Linked DNA regions of Notamacropus eugenii. The protein of the gene in region 2 interacts with the protein of the main gene of each other region in a pairwise test. Links are inferred from orthologs where the notes say so. Each region holds a gene or a part of one and is shown on either strand. Other genes may lie near its edges.

Region 1 (7,528 bases), on a different chromosome or scaffold from region 2:
AGTCTCATGACTCTTCCGGTGATTGATAAGGCTCCCAGCATGCCGGTAAGTACGGCCACAATCAGCACAACGGAAAGGCCTATATTCTTCTACTCCACCCTCATTAAGCTCCCCAGCATCAAGATCTCCAGAAGTGTTGAATTCCCCAGAGGCATTAAAGTCCTTGGTACCATGAAGCTGATTTTTATCACAACCACTTTCTCCAGGGCCATTGGCAGATGGCTCTCCTTTTTCTTCCCATGATAGTTCCTTCCCTTCTCCCTCATGGGCTTGTTGGTGTCCCAACAATTCACTCGGCAGTCGGAAAGCCCGGGGGCATCGAGGACACTGGTAAGGCCTATACTGAGCATGTAACCTAGAATGATTCTTTAGGGCCATAAGGTTGGAAAATTCCTTGAAACATACAGCACAGGGGTAAATGCCTAAAGCATGGCTCTGACGGTGGTTGGTTAAACTCCCTGCATGTTTATAGGCTTTGCCACATTGTCCACACTTATATCGACGTTCATCCTCAGTAGGAGGTGACTGAGGTGGTCTCTCATTCCCTGTGAAATCCACCATGGATTCAGCTAAGTACTGCTCTAAATTGCTGAGAAGGCTATTGGCTGGAGCAGGAAGAGCAGGGGCCTCTGTGGGACCTGATGTATTTCCCCATCCCTCTATACTCTCCTTAGAATCTGTCCTGTTCTCCCAGCCATCTTTGTGTCCAGGTGGCTTCTCCCAGGTACTAGCGGCCTCTGCAGGATCAGGCCCAGCCTCCCATACATGTGTACTTTGTCCATGGCTCGTCTGGTTGTTCCAGTTTTCCCCAGGACCAGGCGTACCCCCCCAAATGTCAGTGGCAGTCATTTGACCCTGGCTATACGATGTGGGCTCTTTGTGGCGGGGGGGCCTGTGCCTCCTGCGGCCCTCAGGGGCATGAGTCCTCAGGTGACTCTTGAGGGCCATAGGATTGGAGAAGTCCTTGTTGCATGTGGTACAAGGAAAGCGGCCAATCTCATGGGTCCGTCGGTGATTGACCAGACTACCTGCATGACGATAACCCCGCCCACACTGTGCACACCGGTATGGCCGAGGGATCCCATCAGCCTCATCACCATTCCTGTTTGGAGGAGAGTGATGGAGCAGCTCACGGTGACGTGCTAGTTCTGGGAGGCTGGGGAAATGACGCTGACAATCAGGGCAGCTGATCAAGGCAGGGGTATCCTCCATGAGGCAGCAAGGTAAACTGCAGAGTGCTCAGGAAACACAGGCAGGTGATAATACCATCTTCTTGCTCTGGAGAAAGCAGCAAAAAGACTAGAATATAAAAAAGGAAATATTAAGAAAGGAATTGAGAATGTAACTCACTGCTTAAATGAGCTTGTCCATTAGGTAGTATGTGAAAAAGTACTTCAGGTCCTGCATTCCATCTGATCAAATCAAAGTCCTATTTCCATCTGAGCAAATGGAACCCATCATCTCAATTTTCCCCAGAGGAAAACAGAGATGGGGCAAGAACCTGAGATACTGCCTTAAAACCAAATGTTTCCCTGGATCAAAGGCAGAAATTTCTGTTACTTTTGATCTCTTCTAAACTTAAAAGTTCAGTACTGAGACCTCTTAGCTATAGTTGGCATCACAACCCAAAAAACCCTTTCCTTTTTTCTTTAATATCCTCCCCAAACTGAATCCAGTTGAACTTGGTGCCCCTCTCCCCACCCTCTTATAGATCTAAAATGGGAAATCATCTTTCTCCGGACACAATGAACTGGTTTTTACCTCTCTCAAGTTTTCTCTCTCTAAAGTCTTTGGTTAAGAATAAAGCTCACTTTTTACCACCCAAGCTAAAATCATGACTTTAGATGTAGTCACACTAATAATACCTTACATGGGCTGCTGGGGATCCAAGTCAGAGCCTCTCTCTATCACTATACTCCAGTTGAGAATCTGTTAGGTAAAAAAAAAATCAGGACTCACTGTTCAGGTAAAGACTTGCCTCTTTAAGCTACCTATACTCGCCACTTTCCTCTTAACCATTTTACTACTCCAGCCTCATATTTTACTAACTTCATATTTTATCTACCCATTCCTATCACCTCCCCTCCTTTCTTCTTTTATTCTTAATCCTTTGCTAATCATGCACTCCCACCTAGTTTCCCACCTAATAAACACTTTATAGGTATTTTTTTAAAAAGATTTTGAGTTCACTTATCCTTTTTCATATTATCCTCACAATAACTCTGTAAAGTAGGGAGTACAAATTTTATCATTCCCTCCTTTATTATAGACAGTAAGCAAGCCCCAGAAAGATGACTTGGCTAAGGACGAACAGTTGATTAAGTGGCAAAGTTAGAGAGTCTTGAATCTCCTGATTCTTAGTCTCATTCTCCTTTCACTATAACCAGGTAGTTCCCAACTTCCCTTCTGCCTCCTGTTCTTATCTCCCTATATTTTTTCCCCTCTTCCTCAGTCAATCTATTACTTTCCCCCCTCTAGACCTCTTTCCCACTCTTGGCCTTCACCATATACTTCACAAGTACACGCACATATACACAAGTACACACACCTCTGATTTCAGCCCTGTCTCTGCTTCAAAAGGCCCTTTCTTCTGGCTGCCCCAAGTGGACCCCACAGTCCTGTTCTTCTCTTAGATCAATCTCAACCGCAGATCTCGAGGAGACAACTTGAATGGAGACATCAGGGTTCCACTTTCTCTACAGGGCCTTCAGACCAGAATGGAAGGTCTTGGGTGCCCCCTCCCCCGCGGCTGCCAATAGTGACTCCTCCACCTTCCGGCCTCCCACTATCCCCAACCCCTTCTTGTGCCCCCCTTGCCCCCCACCCCCACCCAGCCCAGCCCTTCAGGCCCTCAAGTCCCCTCCCCTCCCTCACCTCGCCTGGCCTCTCTGGGGGCGGGGAGAGGACGCTGGTCCCTTTCTGAGCTCCCAGCCTCCAGCTCGCCACTTGACTGGGAGGGGCCCAAAGTCCTTCGTTTCCCTAGGGACTGAGAGTTAAATTGGGGGTGGGGGTGGGGAGGGAGGTCGGAGGATGTGGAGGACGACAACCAGGTTGCGTTCGTATAGGGCAACGGTCGGACGGGACTAGGGGGGCTGGGGGGGTCCGAGTCTCACGGAGGCTGATGGGCCGTTCGCGCGTGCGCAAAATGAAGCCCACTACTCCTCCTCCTCCCCCAGAATCCCCCCCTCAACCGCCGAAGAACTCTGCGAGGTAGGCAGGGGATGGGGGAGGGGGAGGAGGAGAGTAGTCAGTCGCCCGATGCCCACTCAAGTCCCCCCCCCAGGAGGGGGGGGAAGGGTCTCTCACCCACGCGCAAGCGCGCTCGGGCCAGGAAGCCAAGGAAGGGGAGGAAGGGAAAGTGGGGAGGGAAAAGGGAAGGGGAAGGAGGGGGAAAGGAAAGGGAGCTCAGCTGGCACGAGCCCGAGGTCTCCCCCGGCTCCGCGGACACTTCCTATTGTTACTAGGAAACAGGAAGTGTTCGCTTCGCAAAGGCTTCCCAACTAACCTCCGCCAAACCCGCCCCGGTAGCACTTTCCCTTCTTTTCGGCCTGCCCAATGAGACCTCTCCGTTTCTGATGTCAGGGAACGGTATCCAAGGCACAATACTAGCCCCGCCCACATCGCTAGGCATACTTCCGTTTGTCCAATGACTGTTAAACGGCACATCCGGTAGGGTACAGCTAAAAGAGTTCCCGCCATACATTTTTCTAAGAACGGCAAATGATTGCCCCTGTTACACGCTCCAGGTCAGGTGGATCCTTAGACAAATGGCTCTCTCTACTAATAGCTGGTGACACTTCTTATAGGGTCCCCCCACCTTGGTTAGTGATCTTCCTCTTCCGGTGACGTTACCTTCTAAGTTACATGACAGAAGTAGTCACCGGAAGTGTGGCGTGCTTCAAGTCCTTGTGCCTCGCCTAAATCTTTCCCCACCCAATGACGGCTGTGGGGATCCGCTTGGTCCTCGACTTCACTTCCGAGGGTTTTACCCGCAAACGAACACCCCCGATACTGCTTCCGAACCCTCTCTGATTTCATTTCCGTTGGTGCCCGCCTACTCTGAGTCAAATACGTTTTCTCCACTCTTTCTCTCTTTGGGGCTCCGCCTAAACCCTTCCCCCTCCCTCTTAGCGGGAGAATACCTCCACTTCCGGTACCTTGCTCTCCTCCCACCTCCCCCGCTGGGTCCTAGCGCCTGCTCTATTTCTAGCGGGAGCCCCGGCTCTGTCCTCTGGAACTACTGCAGCCGAGAGAGCATCAGGCTCCCCCAGGTAAGAGCCATGATTGCGACCCTGGAACGCGCCCCGTGGAACTTGGGTCATGGAAGTCCCATTGTTTCGGGACGCCATAGATGGACTCAGTTTTCCCATCCGTAAAATGGGAGGGGGTATGTGTGTTTATGTAGACCAGATGCTTTTTCATGGTCCACTGAGGTCTGACATTTTGTTGAGACGGGGACGCTTCCTTGACCCTGAGCCCCGAGGCAGGTAAAACCTTTGACAGTCCGCCCCCCCCCGCCCCCTTTCATTCATTCACACACCCCTGCTGCTCTACTGTGCGGCGTCCCGGGATTACCACCGCTCCCGCCGCTGTGCCCCGGCCCAGCATGGTCCTAGAGACCGCCATTTTGCATGCCTTTGTGCGGCGCGGCACGGCACGGCTGCTCCTTTGGCTTCCGAGCCGGGTGCCGGGCCCGGGGGTGAGGCTCGCTGCATGCGGCTCTCCGCTTCGCTGCTGGACTCCGCGTGTTGGGCAGCAGGGACTGGATGTCCTCTGTCCCCGGTCCTAGTGACCGCCATTTTATAGGCCTCTCTTTTGTCCAGGTTATAACAGCCGCCAGCGTCCTCCCCCCTCCCTCCACGCCCTCCAGCCTCCTTCGGTGACTCGGCCCCCAGCACCCCTGAGGTCTCCAGCGCCCGCCCCTCCTAAACCCGCCTCGGGCGCCGCTGGGGAAGGCTCGGCCTTCTCCACGGCCGCCCCTCCCCCGGTCCTAAAGACCGCCATCTTGCTCGTCTTTGTCCCTTGGCCTCGCGGCCCTTCGCAGCACTCCCGGGGTCGCCTCCTCACGCGAACCCTAACCTCCTCCCCCCTGCTCCCGCAGACCCCTCCTTCCCGATCGCCACATCAGGCCGTAGCGTGAGCGCCGGGAGGGGAATGGGAGGCGCGGGAGCTAGAGCTGGAAGGGACCTCCGGGGCGGTCCGTCCGTCCGGTTTAGCAGACGAAGGGACAGAGGCACCGTTGACGGCCCCCCCCCCCCCCCCCCGCCCCATTTATACTGAAGAGGCCCTGCCGAAGGGACTCAGCCAAGGTCGTCAGTGACCTGGCGGCGCAGCGCCAAGGCCTGAGATCTGGATGCGAATCCCTACCCTGGGAGTGCCAAACGAGGGGAGTGGACGCCAAGGTTTCTTTGTGCCCCTTCAGCTTTACACATTAGAACAAACCCGTGGATTCTTTTATTCCTTGTCCCCCAGTGAAGCCCCCTCTGTGGAGCCCCGGCGGGGGAGGAGCGCGGCCGCCGTCCAGCCCGGGCGGGGGGTGAGGGGGGGAACCGCCCCTCCTCCGGCCCTGGGCTGCCCGGGCTTGCGCCGGTCCTCCCCCTCTCCCCCAAGGCCGCCGCCGCAGCCGGGCGCTCCCTTTTTAAACTGCCCTCGCTGCTCTCCCCGACCCCGCCTCCCGCCGCTCCGCCCGGCCCGGCCGCGGTCCTAGAGCCGGACTCGTCTGCACCTCCCCTAGGACCTGTCCCGGCCTGTCGGGGTCGGGCTTTGTGAGGAGGCTCTGGGGCTGGAGAGGGTTTTCACTTCAGCCTTCCCTGGGTCCTAGAGCCCAACCCTGGCGGGGCGGGGGGAGGGGGGGAGCTTCTCCGCGGACAGCTGGCGCTCCAGCCTGGGTAGGAAGGCGGGGCTGGGTCATCTGGGGAGGTGGGCGTCTCGTCCTGGGTTTGGTGACGCCCTCCGCCCCGCCCCGGGAGCCGCAGTCCGAGGCTGGGACCAGGAGCTGCCGAGGAATTGGGATTTCTGGCCGCTGCTCTGCCTGAAAGGGCCAGAGAGATGGTTCTTGAGAAGATTCGTTTCCACTCATCCAAAGCTCTCGCCTCGGGCTTCCCGCAGGGTCACCGGCGTCAAGGCCACCCCGGGCCTTGGGGATCCTTTAGGTCCAGGCACTAAGACAAGTCACTGTTTCTACCACTAGGCTTTGGTTCCCAGTTGAGTTCTCTGAATCTGTGATCCAGGGATTCCTCATTGGACAGGTCAGGAAATGGATGGTGGGGATGAGATAAGAAGAAACAAGCCGGGAGAGCCAGGTAGAAAGTGGCGCAGCTGGGTTCAAACCTGTATCTTCTGCTGCCCAGTCCTAGACACAGGTTCGAGGGGGTAGGGAACAGGTAAATAAGTGCTTGCCATCCTCCTTACCCCTTTGAAATAACCTCAAGACCATGGTCATACCTTCCAACCCTTGATTCTCCCCCAACATCCTTCTTTCCCATCCTCATCTTTACTGAATTCTGTTTGCCCAGTCTCATATCCTCTGTGCCGAAGAAATTGTCAGATATAATAGGAAACAAATCATCGCTATCCTTGACTAAAGGTGTGAAGTTGGTGAAGGCACCAAATCTACTTAGACCTCATTTTCCTCATCTGTAAAGTGAAAAGGTTGGACTAGATCAGGGGTGGGCAACCTGTGGCCTTCTAGATGCTTAAGTTCAGCCTTTTGACTGAATCTAGACTTTACAGAACAAATCCTTTAAAAGGTAAAATTTGTGTAAAATTCAGATTCAGTCAAAAGGCCACATTTAAGGATCTTAGAAGGCCACTGTCACCTCAAGGCTGCAGGTTTCCCATCCCTGGACTAGTTATCTTCAAAGTGCCTTGTTAGAGCTAAATGATATAGTTCTTCAATTCAGATAATGCTATATACAAAGGTAGGCAGTTGAAATACCAAAGAGCTCATTCCTTCTGTCCCAACACCCAGAGCTCCAAAGTTCTAGAGGACAAGTTTGGCACAGACTGTCATCTTGCATCTCATTTGATTTTCTCTCTCCCTTCTCTTTAACATATGTGCCTTAGTCTAAGTCATCCACTCACTCCAGCACTGCCAAAATTGTTCATGAGTGAATCATAGGATTTTAATTCTGGAAGGAAGGAGATAATTTAGTCCGAACCATCTATTTTAAAGATGAGTTAGCTGAGGCCTAGGGAAAGAGAAGATCTTGCTTTACTATGATCTCATACATGTATCAGTCAACAAATCACTGACAACCTATTTGGGCAAGGCACTATTCTTGGGGTATACAAGAGAAAAGAGAGTCCTAGCCTAGTGAGGAAGTCTAGACACACAAAGCTTAAACAATATAGTGATAACAATGCAGGTTCTTAAAGTATCTTAATGCTTAATAATCTTTTTCCTTTACAGTAATACTGTGAAAATAGTAGAAATTTATTATCCTCGTTTTTATAGGTAAGGAAACTCTGTCCAAGAGAGGTCAAGGGATTTGCCCATCATGTGGCCTTTAAATGTCTGAGCCAGGAT
Region 2 (7,656 bases):
AACATTACCTCTGTGAATGGGGTAGTGAAAATTAATTAGATCCCAGCACAGAGTCCTTGAATTTGAGAGCTGACAGGGACTTTGAGTTCATGCAGTCCAATACCCCATTTTACAGATGGGGAAACTTTAATTTGGATGTTCAAAAATTTTTACCTCATGTAAAATGTAAAAAGAAAAGCAGTGGCAGTTGAGGTGTGAACTCTGCCATCTCTTTGCTCTGGAGAGGAGCATTTGAACATCAAAGGACCGTCCATTCTAGCTCTGTGATAACCGACCAATCAACTCTCATTTACATAGCAATTTCAAGTTTACAGAATGTTTTTGGTTAAACTCTTTTGAGATAGAATCCATCTGGAAGAGACTTGAGAGATCAAATAATACAACCTCATCAATTTACAAATGTGGAAACTGAGGCCTAAAGAGGGAGAAACAACTTGCAGGGTTTATTTCACTTTGTGTGTCTTCATATCCACAGCTACTCTCTTAGCACCTGGAATATGATCAGTACTTGATAAATGCTTGGTGATGATTGCTCAGGGTCATAGGTAGTCAGGGGACAAAGCTGGGATTTGTGGTTTTCTTCTCCCTTAAAACCTGTGTCCTTTCCTAAGCTTCATTTTCTCCATTTACTAGAGTAGGACACTGAAATTCAGGTGAAGTAATTCACTCAGGTTTACACAGCAAGTCAGAGTTGGGACTTGAACAGTGGTCTCCTTGGTGTCCCACTCTTTTAGCTATATTATACGCTTGCTCCAATAGGTATGCCTTTTGAATTACAAGTACCTGTACTGTTTTTTTTTTTGGTAGGTGTGTGGGGGGAGTGATTGGTTGTATGACTGTTAATCACATAGATTCCCTAGAAACTGCATAGGAAAACTGGAGTCACTACTGTGACCTATAGAAATGGTTTTCCAGAGAATATGCCTGTGTATAAAAATATTTGCTAGTCTTGGCAAAAACAGCAACAACAACAACATGGAAGCTCAAACTGGCATCTAATAATTTTTGTTAGCTGAGAATAGGCAGAGTAGTCTAATGGGTAGAGATGCAGTCATGGAATAAGGAATACTGGAAGACCTGTCTCTGACATATCCTAGATACCTGACTCTGGAAAAGTCACTGAACTGTTCAGTGTCCCCCCAAATGCTCTAAACTCTAACTTAACAGATCTGTCACGTTGCAGGGTGTTTTGATGTTAAAGTATGTGTGTGGGAAGAAGCAAATTATAGTTTGAGACCAAAAAAGACTTTCAGAGAGCTCATACTGTGACAGTCACACAAAATAAAAACAACTATTCACTTTAAAAGATTCCAAAGGAAACTGAGTCAAAACATACAATTCTGGATAGCAGAAGTGCATATAAAAGAATAGATAAAAACAATATAGTGTTTTAAGGAGCACATCCCTCACTCCTCCCACCCCAAGATAACAGATAGATCTCTATCCTTGGTACTCTTCTTAATGTGGTGAAGTGATAATGTCACATTTTCTTCTGGGATTTCTTCTTTAAATCAAAACTGGAGAAGTTAAACTTGTTCAACTTGTAAGCATCAGACAAACGCCACGCATGTTTCTAATGAGTCATAAATGGTTTGTAAGCAGCCTTGGTTGAGAAAGTTCCCACCTAGACATCCCTGCATGCATATACCATACAGTCTATTGTTATCCATTTGCTGAACAAACATTTACAAGGCACTGGCTTCCAGAAAGATCATTTCCAGGCTTGTAGCATTTTTCCTATGTTAAAATATGGTCCAAATGCACCCTGTGGTTGTAACTACACAAAGTGTTTGTGTTTGTGTGTGTGTGTGTGTGTGTGTGTGTGTGTAACTGAGGCAAATTGGATAATCCAAGAACAAAACTTATTTCTGACTGAATTTAAAGGGTGTGGGTTTGAATTCTGGCTCTGCCATTTACTGTAGGAGTTTGTGCAAGTCACTTCATCTCTCTTAGCCTCAGTTTGTTCCTCTGTAAAATGGGAGGTTGGAGTAGTGAACCTGTATTGTTCCTTTCAGCTCTAAAAGCAGTGACCCAAAAGTCTTAGTGCATTTTAGGGAGCTGTCCTCCCCCCAACCCCCCATATAATCCAAATAGTTGGTGAAAGGTCTTTGGGGAGGAAGATATCCTGAATTATTCCAAAAAGATGTTCACCCTCCTTGATTCTCCATGTGTAAGTAGCCTTTAGTCGAGCCTCCTCATTTTCTAGAGGAGAAAATGAATCGTAGAGAAGTGAGATCACACTGGCAGTGGCCAGAGCAGATTGGAATCCCATTCTTCAATGTAACTTGCAATCCAGCATTTCTCCTTGCAGCTGACCTGGGGGCCACATGCCTTGGACAGCCCCCATTTGGCAGCCAGTCTTCTGGAAAGAAAGCCCTGATTTAGTCAATTAGAAAAAAGCCAAACTGGAGAAGGCTGCCAGATAGGGTTTCAGATATATGGCATGATCTGCCATACCACGCACTAAAGGACACCAGATTTCCAGCCACCTTCAAAAGCTTTATGTTTGGGGAGGATTGTTTTGTTTTCAGAGTCTTACAGGAAAGGCTCAAGCAAGTGGCCAAATCCACTATTTATGGCTATAAAATTGGCTGTCCCATGAACTGTGGGGCGCAGGTCTGGTAAATATGCTCAGAACCTTTGTGAGTTGGGGAATATTGAGAGTTGTTTGGATACTGCCCATCGGTGGAGTCCTCTGTACACAAAGGACCATCCAGCAGACAGAGTGAGGGGTGAGGGGTGGGGCGGAGATCAAATGTTTGGCAGAAAAATCATGCTAAATACAGCATCTCCAAACAGAACCCCCAGGGAAAAAGCTAAAATGGGACTTTTTATTATTCTTCCAGAGCTGAAGTAGGGGCAGGGCGAAAGGTTGTGAAATTCATTTTACTGCAGGGTCTCCTCTCTTCTTTTAAGTCTCTGTCTTCAGTCTCTCGGTTTCTGTGTCTCCTCTTCCTCACCCGTCCCCCACTCCCTCCCTGTCCCTGTCTCTGGGCTCATTGCTGGGTCTCTTATGAAAGCAGATTTGTATCACGGTCCCGGAAACTTAGTTTTTTTCGGAGAGGGAGAGTGCGGGAGGAGATATGATGTTGGGAAGGGTAGGGCTTATTTTTAAAATACACTTTTTTTTGTACCTCAGCAGTGATCTCCCTCTACCCCATGACAATTGGAGGGAGTAAAAGGATCTTAAGAGACCCTCTGATGGGCAGGAAGGAGGGCCTTGAGTATGGCAGGAGTCAGAAGGGAGAAACAGCCGCTTCGCCAAGCGTCAAGCCCCAAATGTATTCCTCCTAGGCTGCCCGAGGCATCTCCATCTCTTTCTATTTCAGTTTGGAGGCGGCTCAAAGTAGGTAGCACGACAGGCAGGGAGTGAGTCGTAGACAGTTCTGGAAAGGGGATAAAACGGGGAGAGGGGGAGGAAGAGTACGGACGAAGGCTTTGCTCCATCCATCGGCATCTACTCTGCTTTTGCATCGCTCCCTCAATCTCTTGCAAGTTTTCTCTTTAGGTGTGATTCACCTGCAGATGGGAACATAGGGCTGGCAGGTGAGGTGTGTGTGTAAGTGTGCGCATGTGTGTGTGTGTGTGTGTGTGTGTGTGTGTGTGTGTGTGTGTGTGTGAAGGCGCACAGCCCTGGCACACTGGGCTGGATACCGGCGGGCAGGGAGCCGCTCTCCTTTGCGGATCCCAGCCTCGGCTAACATTCCTCAACATCTCCGGCGTCTCCAGCTTTGGAGCTGGACAAAGTCAACCGTGAACAGCAGGTTGTTCGCTCGCCTCATTTCATTTCCCCAGGACGGGCGCAACTCCTCCAGGGGCTCACTTCTCCCCGCCTGGAGTGTGCCACCCCACCCACGCCGCGTACCCCATAAATGCTGTCTGGCTAGCTCCGCCTAAAACTCCCTCCCCGGGGGCCAAGGAGGCACTTATCTGCTCTCCTCCTCCGCTGGCTGGAGCTCACTCTGTTTCCTCCCTCCCTGGCTCCCTCTCTGCCTGCCAGCCACAGGACCTCGACCAAGTCCAGTACCCTGCTTCCCTCCCTGTGCCCTCGCCCTCCCCTCATTTTCCCAGTCCTTTCCCACCTCTGGTGGGGCACAAGCTAGCGCTCAGCTCCGCCCCCCTCGCCAGGGCTCCAGGGCTCGTCTCCCCCGCCCCGAGAAGCGGAATCCGCACAGCGAAAGTCTCCAGGGCGCTGGGCGGCCGTCCGACTGGGCATGCTCCGTGGCCCCGCCGGGCTGAGCTCGGGAGTGGGGAGGCAGCAGCGGCGGCGGCGGGAGCGGGAGCGGGAGCGGCGGCGGGCGCGGGGGCCGGGGCCGGGGCTGGGGCCGGGGCAGCCGTAGAGGCAGCCGAAGGAGCAGCAGAGGCTCAGCGGCGGCCGCCGAGGGGGCAGCTCAGGCCGCCCGTCGGGAGTGAGCGGCTACTCGCCGCCCGCTGCCCGCCGCCGCCGCTGCTGCTGCCGCCTGTGCCCGTGCCACTGCCCGTGCCGCTGCCCGTGCCCGGGCTGGGGCCGGGGGCCGGGGGCACCGGGGGGAGCAGGAGCGCCCGCGGCAGCGGCGGCGGCGGGGACTTTGCCCAAAGTTGCGGGGGGCACCGCGCCGCCGAGCCAGCGGGGGCCCGGGGCCAGCCCCAAGGACCAGCAAGCATGGGCACGCTGCGCGACCTGCAGTACGCGCTCCAGGAGAAGATCGAGGAGCTAAGGCAGCGCGATGCGCTCATAGACGAGCTGGAGCTGGAGCTCGACCAGAAGGACGAGCTCATCCAGAAGCTGCAGAACGAGCTGGACAAGTACCGCTCGGTGATCCGGCCCGCCACGCAGCAGGCGCAGCAGGCGGCGCAGGCACAGCAGGCGGCGCAGCCCGGCGGCGGCGCGGGGAGCAGCGGAGGCGAGCCCCGCACCAAGCGCCAGGCTATTTCAGCCGAGCCCACTGCCTTCGACTTGCAGGACCTCAGCCACGTGACGCTGCCCTTCTACCCCAAGAGCCCCCAGTAAGCGGGCTGGGCCCGACCGGGGGAGTTGGGGGGGTGGGGGGAGGCTTGGGCGCTGTCCCCGGGGGGCTGGGAGGGAGGTCAGGCGTTCGCGGGGCTAAGCAGTGCGCTGCCCCGCAGGGAGCTGCCTGGCTGGACGCTCGGGGCTCGTCTGCCTTGCCTAGGGGCGAGCTGCCTGCACGCCTGGCCGCCTTCGCGATAGGGGTTCTCACGGCTGCTTCTCTCTCTCCTTCGCATCTCCCTAAAGAGGGACCCACCGACACTTCTGAATGTCTCAGTCTGTTGCACATCTCCAGTCCTTCCCTCCCTCCTTTCTTCCCTCCCTCACTCATCGGTTGCCTTCCTATCTGCCTCTGCCTTTATATCTGGCAATGACAGTGTCGAGAGGGAAAGAGAGAGGGAGAGAGTACTAGGGACCAACACATAGAGAGACAGAGAAACATAAGACAGAGTGAGGGTCAAAGTGGGCGAAATGGATAAGGAGACCGAAATAAGCGTAAGGAGAGGGACAGAGAGATCTCATTCGGAGAAAGCCGAGAGAAATCCCTTGGAATTGAGGTTTCAGAATGGACAGATGTGTGTATATGTGTGCGTATGTATGTCTGTGCAAAGAGGAAGAAAAGAGTGAACTTTCCTCCTCAGTTATCCAAGTCTCCAAGCAGCCAGAAGTGTCCAGCCGAAAAACCTGAAATGGCCAAGATGAACTAGACCCTCTCTGGTTCACTACGTGAGCCTCTGTACTTGTCTCGAATATCCCTCCATTGTTGACTGATTCATGCCGAAACTATCTGGATCCATGTTTTCTATCATAATTAAGGAATACATTTATCTACTAGGTAGTTCATATTTTTTAAAGGGTTCGATTTCCTGATATAATTTAACTTGCTTCAAGTAAGACAGAGGCAGGCTGCTAATTGTAATTGTTCCTTCTAAGGGAGAACTGTGCTTAGTTCCCGTGGCATAGTTGCTTTCCTACAACGATTGCATTACTTCCAGTGTGAAACGCACATTAGTGTGTCAGATCTGATCACAGTTGTAAATGGACTGGTTGTTGGTCTTCCTGTGACCGTTTTCACTACTTTGATCTGTCTTGTGCTGGCATGTTTTAGCCCTGGATGACTAGCCCTGATCTCAGTGGCATGAGGTAATGTGGAGGGAGGGAAAGAGAGAGAGGGAAAGAGAGAGAGAGAGAGAGAGAGAGAGAGAGAGAGAGAGAGAGAGAGAGAGAGAGAGAGAGAGAGAGAGAGAGAGAGAGAGACACAGAGACAGACAGACAGACAGAGACAGAGACAGAGAGACAGAGAGAGACAGACAGAGAGACAGACAAAGAGACAGAGAGAGATAGAGGAAGGGGAGGGAGAGGATCAGAGGGATAGATTCAGTTGAAATCAGGAAACCAAATCCCACAATTATATAGCATATATACAATAAGAAACAACTGGCCAAGGAAGGATACAGTACTTCAGTAAACATGTGACATGACTGGAGAAGGCAGGATATTGCCATGCTCTATTTTGGCTTTGTTTCTTTCATGTAAAGAATTCCCAGTGTGCCAACTCCTTCTACCAAAGAAGGTTTGCAATTCACCTGTAATTTAAAGAGATAGAGAGTTGAATTGCTGGAGGCAGAGAGATTAAGTGTCTTGCCTAGAGCCACCCAATTAAATGCGTTGGGCGAGGATGGTGTAGCTAAGTTTTTGTCCATTCTGACAGTTTGTTTGCCTGACAGCTCAGGCTTGGCAGTTGGGGGCACCTAAACCCTCTTTAGCATTCTTTGCTACTTTGATTCTCTGCCCTGACTTGCATGCCTGTTTCATGTAATGAGGCACAGAGTGGAACTCAGATCTAGGGCTTTGGTTTTCTAGCCACTACATGGTGCTGCCCTCATCCTATTCCTAGCCATGGAGTACTCGGTAGGTGATGTGTTACATAATACTCCGTATTCCTTTCATTACACATGATACAACAGGTTAATTTAAGGGGAAGGACTGGGTGTTTGCTTTTCCCAGCCTTTACTGATTTGGTAGCTTGGAATATCCTCCTTTATGTCCAATGCCACTGATGCCTTTGTTGCTCATGTAATTAAGGATTGCAATATTCGGTCCTCGACAGCCAACCTCAGTCTGCTCTTCTTGTCCCAGCTTAAGGAAAAACACACATCTGTGAGGGGGTGAGGAGAGTATGGCTAAGTTAAGTGTTTGTCCATGCTGACCTGATTGCTTGCCTGATGTCTCTGGCTTGGAGAGCAGAGTGACCTGCACCCTCTCTAACTTTGTCTGTTAAATTAATTCTCTGCTCTGACATGCATGCCTGTTTCATCTAATGATGTGCAGGGGCTATCTCCCTTCTGGTTCAAGTTTGCATAATGGAAAAGAAGTCCATGGGTATGATTTTCCTGAGCTGATTGTGGAGTGAGGGCAGCCTGAGGCCAGAGCTTCTGTAGGACTTGAGGCTGATGCAGAGGGAACTGTGATTTTGTATTAGGAAGGGGGAAATGGCAGTTGTTTTCAGAAGCCCAGTGATCAATTCAAATGATAAGTAGTGAAATAGTCGGTCAGGGAGTATCTTTGGGACTTTAGGAAGAGTATAATAGTGTGGCTAGCAATAAGAAATGGAAGAGTTTGCTAAGTCTGAGATGCTTCTTACTGTGGAGCTTTCGGGATGATTAGAT
Region 3 (7,936 bases), on a different chromosome or scaffold from region 2:
TAGGCAAAATTTTTCATCTTCAGCTCTAAGCTATTTATTGTCTTTCCAAATTTTTCTTTCAGAGCTCTTAGGGGATAGGTAGTATTCAATGATATGATTAGTATGGAACAAGCGTGGGGAACCTGCAGCCTCAAGACCATATGTGACCCTCTAGGTCCTCAAGTGCAGCTCTTTGATTGAATCCAAACCTCACAAGGTCATTGAGGACCTAGAGGGCCACATGTGGCCTCAAGAGTGCAGGTTCCCTACCTCTGGTATAGAAAATTGCCAAGTGAAGAAACTACCTTTACCAATGGAGGTCAGCCCCTCCTCTTCAGCTTAGAGTATTATTGTGTAGAGCACAGACAAGGTAAGTGATTTGCCCAGAAGTGGTACTTGAACCCACTTCTGACTGGCTTAAAAGAAAGCTCTCTATCCGGTATGACACCAGAGCTCTTATTTCACTCATGATTTTATTTTTTAACATCTTGCTTCATTTAAACATCATCCCCACATGGTTACCGCTTCTGCTTAGCGCTTGTAGTCCCCATTCCTTCCTTTCAGTCTTTTCTCTTGCAGACTGTGGATGTCTCTTTTAAAACCCCTGTGTATGACTTCACCATCTGCCTTCTGGCTCAGAGATCCCCAAAATGCAGATCAATCTCAGCACAAAGAGGAAATGCCTGTCTCACTGAAGTACAAAACTCAAGTGGCCAGTCAGTTCGCAAAACCTTATTACATATCCATATCTTTATAGATATAGACATAGAGATAGTTTGTTGTTATTTCAGTTTCAGTTGTGTCTGCCTCTTTGTGACCTCATTCTAGGGGTTTTCTTGGCAAAGATACTGGAGTGGTTTGCCATTTCCTTCTCTGACCCATTTTACAGATGAAGAAACTGAGGCCCACAGGGTTAAGCGACTTGTCCAGGGGTCACACAGCTAGTAGTAAGTGTCTGAGGCCAGATTTGAACTCAGGAAGTTGAGTCTTCCTAACTCCAGCCAGGCACTCTATCAACTGCACCACCACCCAGCGTCCCCTACTGCCCTTTACAAGGTTCAAATAGGCCACTCAGAGCCTAGCAGGGGCAAACCTTAATATCTCATCATCTTGGTTGCCTGCCTTTTTACATTCTATAATCTCCCTAGGTAGACTGAGAAGACTCAATTGCTCCCCTGATCATTCCCCCAAACACTTTTGATTTTTCCAAGCATTTTAACAAATGGTACTCCATTGTGTCCCTGGAAGTTATATAGCATAAACTTGAGAGTGTGGTGCTCTACTTCAGAATCTAGACTGACACCTCTGTACATGCTGCAAGTGCTTAGTGTAGGTAAGGGCTGGATGGCACTGGGAGCAGGGACTGAGTTTTCATTCATTAAAGAAGAATTATTTGTATTGTCCTGAGACTTTCTAACTCAACAGCTTATCTTGAGCTTCATTTATCCTTCTGCCATCTGCTCCCCTCCCGCTTACATGCAGCACTAGTGGTTTCTTTTGTCTAACTAAATTTGCCAATAGTTGATCATTTTTCTTGTCGTGGTCATAATATTTACGTTCCATGTGGCAGGCTCTTCTAGGGCTTGGCAGAAAAATTATTTTCTGGGTTTTTCTCATTTTTTTTCAAGGCTTTATTTGTCTAGAGAAAGACTTTTCTAAAACAAGATAACTGTTCTTTCAGCTCTCCTCAGACGTCTAGCACCGTGCCTGGTATATTGTAGTGGCCTAATAAATGTTTATTTACTGACTCTCAGTAGTGCTGGTTGCATAGATATTGAATGTTAGAATCACTTAAAGCTTTCAATATTACTGCTGAGTCTTTATATCAGCTGAGGTAGCAAGACTGGAAATATGAAATGGAAGTTAAGTGGCACAGTGGACAGATCAATGAGTGTGGAAACAGGAAGACTCGTGTTCCTGAGTCTTACACTTACTAGCTGTGTGACCTTGGGCAAGTCACTCAACCCTGTTTACCTCAGTTCCTCATCTAGAAAATGAGCTGGAGAAGGAAATGGCAAACCATTCCAGTACCTTTGCCAAGAAAACCCCAAATGGGGCCACAAAGGATCAGACAGGACTGAAATGACTCAACCACCATCATTATAACACCCACCACAAAAAATTTAGCCAATTTTACTCCTTAATTCTGCAACTATTACCAAGCCAACTTTTAACCTGTTTTCTTAGGCTTTTCTCCTCTGTTAAAAATTTTTGCTCTAAAATTCATGATCTATCCTTTGACCATTCTTTGGCACAAACTCCCAAGAAGGACAAAGAGTAAAAGAAAATTCCTGTACACACCAAAATATTCATAACAGCAAGAATCAGTGTAATTTAGTGTATGCATATATATACATAGTGTATATGTATATGGGAAAACCGCCCAGTGGCCAAGTGGGATGATGGGAAGTGATGGCCAAGGAGGGATATTTTTGGTTTGGGTTGATTTGGAGCATTTTTTTGTATTGGGTTTCTTCCCTAGGAACTATATGTTCAATTTCGTAGACTGGCAAGTATGTTGTCGCTACTCAATTACACTGATTGAGCTCCCTATTTTTTAACTGGGATGAAAGAGTTTTGAGAATTACAGCTCTGTAGTATAAACTGAGGCATAGCTAAGCCCCCTTTGTTCCTATTTCTTTTCATCATTTCAAAATGATGAAAAAAAATGCTCCAAATCATTACTAATTGGAGAAATGCAGATTAAAGCAGTTCTGAGGTTCTGCTTCATATTCATCAGATTAGCAAAAATTATCTAAAGTATGATAAATGTTGGAGGGCCTATGGGGAAATGGACACATAGATGCACTCTTCGTGGACCTGTGAATGGGTACAACCATTCTGGGAAGCAATTCAAAATTAAACACAAAAAATTACTAAGGAGTCCTTCGACCCAGCTATACCACGGCTAGGCCTGCACTCAAAAAGAATGAAATAGGAACACAACACAGAATTGGAGACCTCCCTCCAGGGTGACATTGCATACACTACAGACCACTTGAAATGAAAGGGAAAATAGAGAAGAAATTAAGAAAACAGATCACAAGCCTGGCACATGACATAATAGTGATGAGGTGTGGGGGTGGGGGACAACCTTCTATTATTTGGACATCTGCTGGCAAATTCTCTCCTCCTAAAGCAGAGAAGTCAATAATTTATTGATTTACCTTAGCGATGATTTTGTCCTTCAAAAAGTAGAGAAAACAAGGAGGAAAAAGTTCTATTCCTCTCCACCAAGGAGGGACCATTTGCTAGAGTGGCAATACCTGTCATCTTTTAGGCAATTGACACTCATTCTTTCCACAGGTAAAGACAACATATCCCTGATGTGCTAAGGAGGAGAATTATGCCATTTAATTAAATGGTTTTTCTTTTTAAGTAATGTGTCCTTTGACTTGCTTACTGGCAAAAGTATATCCAGTGGGGGCTGGGAGATGGTTGCTTTTAAGCTATGATTTAGAGTGGTTGCTAACTCACAGAATGTCTCCAGACTGGGAAAACTCTGCTAAGGGTCCAGGTGCTACAGAAACAGCACCGATCTTCAGGATACAAAGTCCTTTGCAGGCATTCCCTTATTCAACTTCATCAGGTCCCTTGGCCAATCCATTTTACCAGCTTAAAGTGAAGAATTTGGTTTAAGCTTTCCCCAGAGTGTTAGTAAGAAATAAAAAGCAGAACCAAGTTTCCTACCTGCACATAAAGGCAGTCTTTAGAGAAATATCCAAGTCCTGCAGGACTTACACAATATGATATTATGGACATCATCATTGGGTAATTTAAATGAACTCGAGCTTACCAGCTGGGGGTGAGTACTACCCTGACCTCTGGAGGGCTTTTCCAGCTGAAGAGTCTGCACTAATTATCCTCAGAGTAGCCTCCCACTTATTAGAGTTTTTTCTCTGGGGTTCAAGGTGATTTACTGATAATGGTGATCTCATTAATACAACAAACCCTGGAGACAAGCATGATCCCTGTTTGTTTGTTTTAAAGAATGCTTTTTTTTAAAAATCAAGACAAATTAAGATAGAGAGGGGAACAGTTTTGTGGGATAAATAGCAGACTGATCTTGAAAGAGGGAATAATGAATTCAGTGTTGCAAACTATGAAGAAAAAAAAGAAGAAAAACTTACCTAGATGTCAAACCGGGTCACTGGAGCATCTTATCTTGACTTCAAAGTTCTGCCTCTATATCAAACTTGGGATTTGGGGAGACCTGGGGGGCTTAGTGTAAATTCCCTGATAGACGTTGATAGAAGAACCCACCTTCCTGCTCCCCTTCATAGCATTTGGAGCTAGAAGAGAATTGAGCAGCCCTATTTAGTCCAATCCTTTCATTTTGCAGATAAGGAAATCAAGGCATGCCACCACAGATTTAGAGCTGGATGGAACTTTACAGGCCATTGACTTCCACTCCACTCATTTGGACCACATCATAGCTTTAGAGCTACATGGATATTTGAGGCCAACCCTATTCATTTTGCAGAAAGGGAAACTGAAGCACAGAGTAATTTGCCCAGGATTACACACAGAGGAAATGAACGGGAGGGATTTGAACTCAGATCCTCTTACCTCCAACACCCTACGCATGACAGCCTGTTCGTTCTCTTAACACAAAGAATCTTTGAGCTGAGGGATGCTACGGACAGGAGGGAAAACGTACACCGCGAAGGCAGCACACGAACCAGACACACACAAGCACCCTCGCAGAGAGCTGGGAGGGAGGAGCGTGGCCATAGAGGCAGGAGAGGAGGTGGGAGGGGATGGGAAGGGGTGGGGGGAGGAGGAGGAGGAGGGGGAGGAGGGCGGGGGACGCTCTGACACCCAGTGTGCACAGCCTAGCGAGGAGAAAGAAGGAGGCGGAGAGAGGAGGCGAAGGCGCCGGCCGCTGTCGCAGCCCGAGCGCCTCTGCGAGAGGGGCGATCGGAGAGCAGGGAGCGAGCGCTGTCCGGGGACAGCACCCAGGCGGGACCCAGTGGGCGGGGAGGAAGGAAAGGATAATGCCACCGCTGCTGCTGCTGCCACCCCGGGACACCCAGGAGTCGTGACTCGATCCTGCCATGGACCCGAAGGCGGGCGCGGGCGAGGAGGAGGAGGATGACTGTGTGGACTCGGGAGCTGAGACCGGCGGGTGAGCAGGGCTGGGGGGGATACGGATCTCGGAGCTCAACTGGGGCGCCGGGGAGCGAGCGCGCAGGCTCAGCTGGAGCTGGAGATGCGAAAAGGGGGGCGGCAGGGGCTTCCCCAAGCTCGGGGCGGGGGAGCAAGCGTCGGAAGGGCGCGGGTCCGGGGACGGCGGGGTCCCCCATCCATCCTTGGACCGCTCTACTCCACCATGGGAGTGAGGGGCGAGCTAGAGTGGAGTAGGGAGAGTTTACATGTGGGGGTTACCTTGCTCTCGGGCTGGGCTGTAGATCAAGCCAGCACCTCCATGGGGAAAGACCAGTCTTTCTCGAGAAGCAGAAGTTTTAGGGGGGTCGGTGACAGTTACTAGGGAAGGAGGGCCCCAGTGCCCAAGCTGATGCGGAGGGGAGGCTGGGACCTGCTGTCGGGGCCTGGGGATAGGTGAGCCCACTTGTGTTGGGGAGAGAGTCTAGGAGTGGGTCTCGAGGGCAAAGAGAGCTCTTTTACCGCCCCCTCCCCCACCCTCTGTCCCCTGCCTCTGAACCTCCTATTAAGAGGGGAAGGAGATGCCGCTGCACTTGTTGCTGCCCTGGACTGGCTTTCTTCTTGCCCAAACTCCTAAATTTTGTCTGGAATGTGTGGGTTAGGGTTAGAAAAGACTGCTCTCATCTGCCCCTTACACACACACACACACACACACACACACACACACACACACACACACACATTTATGTTTGTGCGTATATATATATATATACATACATGTGGATGTGGATGTGTATAGTTCTATGTATGCATACGTTAGATACGACAAATCAGGGTATTTTTTGTCTTTGTCTGGCTTTAGAGAGGGGCTTTAGTGCAGACTTCCTGGCCATCCCCTCCCCCAAGTCCTCCCCACCTCAGTTGAATCATTAGAGTGTCTCCCTCCCTTCCTGAGTCACAGACTGTCAACTTTTGAGATAAAGGGGAGGTGGACAAACCTAGTACAATACACTTTTGATTATTTAAATGACATATCATTTCCTATCAGTCAGCAAAATAAAATAATTAGCTCAAAATATCAGTGGAAGAATAATTACTCTTTTCCTAATCACCACTGTTTTCCTGCCCGTAGGACAAAAGGCTGAATGCTATTGCCAGGGCTCCCTACCCAGCTCCTATCTCGAACTGGACTTCCCAGTGCCTCCCCTGCCCAGTCCTCAGGATACAGCTATCGACCTGGGATGACCCGGAGGGGAAAGGGTGGCATCTCTGCTGGAGGAGGCTTGAGGGACGGAGATCTGCTTATGAATCTCATTATGTCCAAACTAGAGAATGAGCCTGGAGCCATAAGAACTCACTCTAGGGTTTGGCTGAACTGCAGGAACTGGGGGAGTTCCTGGAGAGTCCAAGTCTTAGAATGACTGGAGTATTTAGCACTGGAGTTGAACTAGCCTGAGGCTGCGCGCTTTTCTTGTACTTACCATCCCAAACTGAGAAATTTAACCCTCCTGGTGTTGACTGTGCTGGGGACTTCCCTGTTAGTGTTCAACTTTGGTTTCAAAAACTAAATGTAATCAAAAGAGACAATGTAATTTCTAATTTTAAGCTCTTTTGTTATTTTTGTAAATTTGTGAAGTTTATCAACTTTTATTTTAGGGTTTTTGACCTGGAATGTGAATCCAAGAAACCATAATAAGCATCCTATTCTTAGTTCTTTCAAACTGACATTTCAATTCGCTTCCAATTATAATTTCTACTTAAAACAGACAAAAAGGGAGCTTAGCTAGGCTGATGGAAGGCGCTGACCCAGATGGTGACATTATCTTCTAGACTTAGACAGTCAGCAGGACATCTGCTTATGTCTGCCAGCAATGGGCTGTTAATGCCCATTGGGCATGAATGGGCTAGTGGTTTATTGGAGCTCTTTAGAGACTGTGGTACTAAAACTGTGACTGCCATGGGGCAGGCTTAGGTGAAGAATTTTTGTTTTCAGTATCATTCTTAAACTTTGAAGAGAGAAGTGAAAAAGATAACATCTTTTTATATCTTCTTATGTCTAAGTAAGATATCATTAGGTATATTTATTAGGTTGCCTGATCTTTGACACATAGACTTTATTTTCTCCTCTTTTAAACGAGTATTGGTATTTCAGTCTTAGTTTTGTCACCAAAAGCACTATTTCTAGTTTCTGTATTTTTTTTTTCAGTTCTTTGTCACAAAGCAAAATTCCTTTGGCCAGATCTACCCTTTATACTTCTCTCCAATAATTATTGGCTTCTTCAGAATTCAAGTCTGTTTTCTGGGGTCTTAGTCAAGAAACAAATTTTGTTAACTTTTGGGTTGAGTTTAGGGGGATTCACCTCCTGAAAGCTTCCACAGCAATTTTCTTACATAGTTTCATGGAGGCCTGTGACTTCATTCCCTCTGGTTTCAAAACTTCCTCCTCCAATGAATCAGTAGCCCATCTATAATATAGTTTTAAAGAGTGTGATTTGCCCATGTTCATACAATTCATGTGTTAGAACCTATCCTTGAATTATAATCAATACTGCCATTACCTCTGGGAACAGACTGCCCTATCATTCCATACAATGTTTTTGTGACTTCTCAGACCATAGTTCCATGCTTTGACCTCCCTCCACTATCTGTGTTGCTCTCCCACTAAATATAAGATCCTTGATCTCTTTCATTTGTAATCTTTTTCTTTCTCACTCGTTCCATCTTCTGCTTTTTAATGAGACATGACTCCGTCCTGATGACATGGCTTCCCCACCACCTTTTCCAGTACTCCATATCCCTATAATTCACTGCTTGTAAATCAGAATTCTCTTAGCTCATTTTTTGTCAGTTG

Evidence for each region.
Region 1: the proteins of PRKG1 (region 2) and ZNF646 interact in binary tests that used the Homo sapiens proteins (3 or more experiments, as listed by UniProt). The two-hybrid records come from large-scale screens. The link is inferred for Notamacropus eugenii from reciprocal best matches to the Homo sapiens genes PRKG1 and ZNF646.
Region 3: the proteins of PRKG1 (region 2) and FAM124A interact in binary tests that used the Homo sapiens proteins (3 or more experiments, as listed by UniProt). The two-hybrid records come from large-scale screens. The link is inferred for Notamacropus eugenii from reciprocal best matches to the Homo sapiens genes PRKG1 and FAM124A.

Annotation. Positions count from the first base shown.
Region 1 is NC_092874.1:377,654,168-377,661,695, forward strand, and holds the start of ZNF646 (zinc finger protein 646), read right to left. Parts: upstream 3,141-7,528; 5' UTR 2,875-3,140; intron 2,706-2,874; exon of another isoform or gene 2,549-2,705; intron 1,930-2,548; exon of another isoform or gene 1,866-1,929; intron 1,300-1,865; 5' UTR 1,213-1,299; coding exon 1-1,212. UniProt on the Homo sapiens protein: May be involved in transcriptional regulation.
Region 2 is NC_092872.1:278,293,618-278,301,273, reverse strand, and holds the start of PRKG1 (cGMP-dependent protein kinase 1), read left to right. Parts: upstream 1-4,538; 5' UTR 4,539-4,642; coding exon 4,643-4,986; intron 4,987-7,656. UniProt on the Homo sapiens protein: Serine/threonine protein kinase that acts as a key mediator of the nitric oxide (NO)/cGMP signaling pathway. GMP binding activates PRKG1, which phosphorylates serines and threonines on many cellular proteins.
Region 3 is NC_092876.1:104,753,448-104,761,383, reverse strand, and holds the start of FAM124A (protein FAM124A), read left to right. Parts: upstream 1-4,796; 5' UTR 4,797-5,036; coding exon 5,037-5,107; intron 5,108-7,936.